Drosophila melanogaster: one gene and its partner. The protein of the gene in region 1 interacts with the protein of each later gene in a biochemical or structural test. Each region holds a gene or a part of one and is shown in the gene's direction. Other genes may lie near its edges.

Region 1 (3,431 bases):
TATGGCCAACAGAACTTTTCCAGCTCAGCTTGGTTTGAACTCCGTTAGACGACTGAATCGCTTTGTGCCCAGCCATCGCTATTTTATACGTCCGTTCTCGAGTCGACAAAAAGCTCGGCTTTCCGCTTCGGCTTTCGGGATCGGGGGGCTCTATATATGTATATGCATATAAGTATATATATGTATGGCTAGTGCGCAGGCGCTTCGATGCTCGTGAAAAAAATATAAACACAAAGCAGCTGGCCGAGCTCAGCTGTTTCTTAGCCAAAAGCCGGCAACAACAAGCCCCACATGTGGCCAACTTAGCCGAAAGGGGGGAGTTTATTGGTCGCCAGGGGGGGTGGGGGGTTTGCAAAGCTTCGGCATTGCCGACTGCGCAAAGACAATAATTCCATGTTGTTCTTGCCCACGAAAAACCAAATAAAGCAAGGTAAGCGCCTAAAACCCAAACAACAGCAGCAGCAGCGCCAAAATATCTGTGGGGCTTTAACAGGTGGCAATGTCATGATTTCACAGTACACAAAATAATATATCTTTACATACATAGATAAATATAGATATCTATTTATCTGAAGTCACTGGTTTTGAAAATGGTTCCGAATCTTTAGTAAGTAAGCCTTACTTAAGGTTTCATAAAAAAAATATATTATATAGTAAGAAGTGCACGCTAAGCATTTGACAAAAATAAAATGTATTTATATTTTAGAGCATAACCAATACAATATTACAGTTTCCTAACTATTAATTTGTTTAAATTAGTATTTAGCTGTAATATTTTCTTTTTCATGCATAGCGAAACAATTAATATATGTTTAAATGATTATCAGATGACATGAAAAAGTATTTTTCAATAAATACATTAATTTGCACAGCAAACGACTATTGAAGTAATAAATTACTGTGCAAATTTTATAACAAAATGTAAAATTTTTTATGTTTTATGGTTAGGCATTTTCATAAAAAAAATTGTCAATTTTTACTCCAAGTGCTCTTTATGAATATTGTCATTATTGCACGCAAGAATTGTGAATTTTCGGCGTCATTAAATTAACTTAATTGATTATTTTCGTTAAATTAATTTGCACGTTTTGTGCAACAATTGTTTACATTTTATCGGTTCATCTGTTGACTGCCAATTCGCAAAAAAAAGATTTGTCGCAAAAACTTCGACGCAAAAACCGAAGCAAATCAAATCAAATCGCACCGCAAAAGTAACGACTGAAAAACTGGACAAACTCGCTTTAATTAGAAGCAAAATAATATTATGTAGACGGTATAAAAACGATATTTGGTACTTAGACATGTGAAATGGTAAATATTAATGCGTGGCGAGTTCCTTGAACTTTTATTCTAATTTATTTATTTCACCCAAATCACGAGGGTAAAGTCAGAGATTTAACAATAGCAAAAAAACATGGATATGAATATTCTAATGTGCCAGATTAACGTTTATTCTTAATCAATTATAAACAGGCACAAAAACCTTAACAGAAACAAAACACATTTTTATATAGTTTCTAAACTCTCGAGTTTTTTATGAATTATTTTTACTATTGTAGTTTACAATTAGTTATTAGGCATAATTCTTATATCATATTTTTAAGCACTTTGTGATAGTTGTGACTGTTGTTGAAATTTATTTTCTTGAAAAGAAATATACATATTGTAATTTAGATCTTAAAAACTCATTATATGATCTATTTTTAAGGATCGTTTTTCAGCACTGATCATGGTTCTATGACTAGGATTTTATGAGTTGCCTGATCACAGAATTTTCGGTAATTTTAACCGCTCTTAATGCGGTCGCATTAAAAAAGCAGTTAATTACAGTTAGTTGCATTTTGCAAATCTTATTGCACGTTTTTTTTTGTCGTCTTTTTTGTGCTCGTGGAAAATATTATTTGTAAAATTACCGAATGGAGCGCTACAATCGCGTCTATAGAGGTAGTATTGCTAATACTTTTGTAAACAAGTTTAAAATATATCCTTTAACTTTCAATAGATCCCGCATCCCCACTGACCCCACTCACTCCCCTCTCCACCGAAGCTTTTACATTCGAAGATGTCACGCCCACTGGAGGCGTTGGCAGGAAGGGTACCGCGAGATACGGACTCTTTGGAATGCCGAAGAACAATAATCTTACGGTTCCTAACAGTCGACCGGCATTGTCCGGGTTAAAACGACTATCGGAATCCACTTTGCCCCGTCGATTTTCACAGAAATTTATGCGCACGCGTTCCGTATTTTCGCCCACAAGTCAAAGTACCCTTATAAATGGGGAGACCAGGCTACTGGGAGAATCTGGAGATTCGAAACTACTGAGAACTAAGAGAGAAGACAGACCAAAGCCGGATATCCGACTGCAGCAGGAAACGCGGCTGAGGCAGGAGGAATCCAAGTTGAAAAGTGCGCGAAAGATTAAAGTGGAGGACCCAAGAAGTCCCACTCCCAGTATCCATCATTCACGCTATAAGCCCTGCTCCCCGGTGGAGCACCCCACTTTGAGTCCTCGGGTCAAATCCCTGCTCGATCGCACCGGAAACGCGCATCTCACAGAGCTGTTCACGCGCCAGGAGATCGACATCGAGGTGCTCATCCAAATGACCCTGGAGGACTTGGCGGCACTGGGCGTTCGCGGCGCCCGGGAGATCCGATTGGCCATGAATATTATCCAACTGGCCAAGCAATTCTTCTGATTTTATATCCTGTAGGATTTCTGCTAATTTTAAACTGTTTTATGTCATGTGGATTTGAATTTGTATGTGAGATTTTAATAAATGTTTAATGTGGTCTTGAAGTATTTTTGCGCGGTGATTGGGGCTTGGGATTGGAACTCTATTTTTAATTTAATATTCATTTAACATTAAGTAATAATTTTTCTCAGTGTATGAACTTAGCTAAAAACATTAGTAAAGTCACAAACCATAGAGTAAGTCGCATTAATCCATGTCTGAACGGTATTTATTTTAGTATATTTTTGCGGCACGCTAGTATGCTTCAAAAGTCGATCCGCGGTCACACTGAACACGTGTTTCGAACAAAAAGCCGTTTAAACAAAATATCCACGTTTTTATCAAAAAAGCAATGGGCAAAGTGAAAGTAGAGCGCTCCGAGGATGCCGATGAGTCCGTTGTGGCCAGCGGCGATGTTACCATCAAGGAGGAGGAGTCCTACGACGACAAGCTGATCTTTGTGAACGCCATCGCGAAACCGATGGCAGGTAAAAAACTGGCCAAAAAGTGCTACAAACTGGTGAAGAAGGCCATGAAGCACAAGACTTTCCTGCGAAATGGACTTAAGGATGTACAGACTCGCCTGCGCAAGGGCGAAACTGGGTAAGTGCTGCGTGATCCGTGACTGCAAGACAACAAGAAATATACCCACATCTTCTCCAGCATTTGCATCTTTGCTGGCGACGTTACACCTGTGG
Region 2 (3,546 bases), on another chromosome or scaffold:
GTCGCTGAGAACGTATGTCGTTTTGATTCATTGTTCTAAGTCCACATATAACAATTACCAGAACAATATGGAATAATTATTTATTTTAGTAAATAATTACTATAGTCAATAATTGTTAGTTGTGCAAACTGCACTTTACACTTTGTGTTTAACTTTCACTATACTGTTGTAGTTTTTAGAACTTGCTATTCGTAGCTTGAAAGAAACACGTCTCCACCCGAAGACTGTGGAATGCCGAACGCGCGCTTTAATGCTATCTAAAATTGACTACGGACTGCCAATCTTCGGTTGGTGTGCTAAATCACACTTAAAAAAGCTACAAGTCCCATATCACGGAGCGGTCCGTCGCGCCATTCACGCATTTCCCACATCTCCAGTAGCGTGCACATTGGCAGAATCGGGTCTCCCGAGTATCCAATCACGCGTAGAAGAAACTACATTGATGCTTATCCCGAAGCTGTACACCACGTCAAACTGCCTGCTAACCAAAGACTTCGGAGCCATATTTAAACAAAAACGGAAATTCAAGTGCATATCCACCCTAAGACGTTGCGCCAACTACATCAAGCTACTTGACCTTCCCCTGCCTAAGCCCAGGAGGCCCTTCAAATCGCCAGCACTTTGGGGTTCCAAACAGCCTAACATAAACCTTCAAATATACAATGCTGCCAAAAAGGATACAGGTCGCCTAGAATACCAAAAACGTTTTATGAGCGCACAAGAAGATCTTGGTGTGAAAAACTGGATCTACACCGATGGTTCTAAAGTCACCGGCGCAACTACTTTTGCGGTTGTTGACTCTAACCGTAAAATAATTGCAGGAGGTAGGCTTCCGTCCTACAACTCCATATTTACAGCCGAAGCTTTCGCCATTCTCAAAGCATGCCAATTCGCTTCCAAAAACGCTGGAAAATCTGTTATCTGCACAGACAGCCTCTCCTCTCTTTCCGCTATACGCAACTGGAACCATAATGACCCCACAACACAAGAAGTTAGGCACATTCTAAGTTCTCACCCAAAAAAAATCACCTTACTCTGGGTTCCCAGTCATCAAGGTATTCATGGGAATGAACTTGCTGACAAAGCCGCCCAAGAGATGAGGCTTACACCATCAATCCTGTTCACTCCGTTTAACTCCAAGGACCTAAAAAGTCGAATCAAGTTATACCTCAAAGAAAAGAAACTCTCCGAATGGGCACTCTTCATGCACAGGTACCAGTCTATCAATCCGAATTGCATCATGTTCAAGCCACCAACGAACGTACATAAACGGGAATGCGCGACCTTTATCCGTCTACGCATCGGGCACACCCAATCCACACATCAACACTTACTGATGAGATCGGCGCGACCAACATGCCAACTATGCGGGGACGAGCTCACCGTTGACCATATTCTCAACGCCTGCAGTCAATTGCACTCAATTAGATCTCACTTATTTGGTACACATAGTCTCTCGAATTGTTTAAGTATCCCATCCTGTGAAAATATCTCAAAAATTTACAAATTTGTCCAAAAAGCTAAGTTTATTATATAAAGCAATTAACCCATAAGTCTCGAGTCGAAGGCCCCCGTAGCTAGTACTCATTAAATTTAATTAGGTTTAGTATTGTATACTATATTTAATTTTGTTAAATAAAATAAATAAAAATTTAGGATAGTCATACTTTTCACATGGATGGACTTTTTGAATGGGGTTAGTTCACGATGCGTTAGTTTGATTAATTAACCAGACTCTAATAACTTACTTTCATTGAGCACTGTTGCTGCTGGCCAGATGAGCAATTTTCATATGGGGTTTCCGAAGTTCCGAGTTTTCGGCTTTTTCCGATGGAACTGTGCATCTCTTGTTTCGAAGCAATCGATAGATGGCGCGCTTGCGCTTTTGCTGGCTAACTGTACATCAAGGCGGGATCGCGGATTACGCTTTCGGAACTCTGCGCACTCGAGATGGAACTGGGTGACTCTAAGCTGCGTGCGGTAAGGGTGCTGGGCCAGGGCACCTTTGGCCGGGTCTTCCTCTGCCACCAAAACGAGGTGCGCGGACAGCCGGAGAGGAAGGTGTGCGTGAAGCGGATCATCGTCCGGAATCCGAAGACAGAGTTGGGATTGATCAAGGAGGAGGTGTACATCATCTCGCAGCTGCGCCACCCGCACATCGTTGAGTTCCTGCGCTCCTTTAGCCACGCGGGCACTGTGAACATCGTGATGGAGTACGTGCCCAACGGCACCTTGAGGGATGTCATCCAGCAGCTGCCGTCAGGCACCGGGGGAGTCAATCAGGAGCGGCTGATGGGCTACTTCCGCGACATGGTAGTGGGACTCGAGTACCTGCACATCCGCTGCGTCATCCACCGAGACATCAAGCCCGAGAACATGCTCCTCGACGCCAACGACCGCGTCAAGATCGCCGACTTTGGGATCGCGAACGTTCATGCGCCCAGCACTCAACTGCAGGCGGGCATGGGCACGCCCATGTACATGGCCCCGGAGGCGATGTCCAGCCAGGGCAAGGTGGATTTCAAGTCGGACGTGTGGTCACTGGGGCTAGTCCTCTACGAGCTGTGCCTCGGACGCAGCCCCTTCGCCGCGTTTCTCGACAAGAACGCCACCCCTGCCCTACTGCACACCGTAGTCCAGGCGCTGGTCCGCCCCCGGCTCGACTGCCAGCTCATCCGGCGTCTCTACGATCCCGTGTGGGCGCAAGTTTGCGAGCTGATGGTCGTTTACGAGCAGGAGCGCCGCATCTGCCTACCAGACATCTTCCACCTCGACGCCGGCATGACTGTGACCCTCTACAAGCATTACTTCAGCTACAGCTACTAACGGAAGCCAATGGTCAGCTCACCAGCACGAGGAGACCTCAACAAATATTTCATTGTACTTAAGAACTAGGCTAGCTTAAGCGATAAATTAAGGTGTGTGCTGTGCTTTGTGTGCGCCTGTGCTTTTGCCAGGGGATCTGTCAGCTATAAACAGTATATAATGTATATTCCAAAACAGTCTCGCTCAATGTCATTAACGTAGTCTTTAATTTACATTTGTTCACCTATTGTACAGTAACATTAATCCTCTAAAGCTTCTGGCCCTGCTGCTGCAGCTGGATCTTACGCTTCAGACTCTTTACCAGGGCGTTCTGCTCCAGCTGCTGCTTACTCCTCTTGGGGGCTACCTGCTCATCCCCATCCGCATCGCCGTTTGCAGCGCCGCCCTCCCCCTGCTCCTTTCTGCGCTTTAACTTCTCGCCGATGATCTGCTGCATGCCCTTGGTGGGCTTGTAATGGGAGTGGGTGGGATCGATGTTGTACTCGTGCGACTTGTAAACGGCACTGAAGCGATTATCATTCAGGTTTACCTGGAAGTCGTCGTCCAGCTTCTCCGCATTCTGCGGCTGATTTTTCGATTTCTTTAACTTCTGACGACGCTTTCGCTTTGAACCGCTCGCTTCTTGCTCCTCCTTCTTGAGGATTTTGGTCAGACTGAAGTGTTGCTTCTCGTCGCGCCCGTCGCCATCGTCCAGCAGTAGCTCAAGCTCCTTCTCTTGCC

What was found.
Region 2: of the proteins of gnu (region 1) and png, one has a biochemical effect on the other in vitro, tested with the Drosophila melanogaster proteins (2 studies listed by BioGRID).

Annotation. Positions count from the first base shown.
Region 1 is NT_037436.4:14,801,745-14,805,175, reverse strand, and holds gnu (giant nuclei), read left to right. Parts: upstream 1-1,815; 5' UTR 1,816-1,916; coding exon 1,917-1,944; intron 1,945-2,002; coding exon 2,003-2,697; 3' UTR 2,698-2,796; downstream 2,797-3,431. Other genes in the region: NHP2, read left to right, coding at 3,086-3,336, 3,397-3,431.
Region 2 is NC_004354.4:1,355,938-1,359,483, reverse strand, and holds png (pan gu), read left to right. Parts: upstream 1-1,882; 5' UTR 1,883-1,950; coding exon 1,951-2,826; 3' UTR 2,827-2,996; downstream 2,997-3,546. Other genes in the region: CG11417 (uncharacterized protein), read right to left, coding at 3,074-3,546.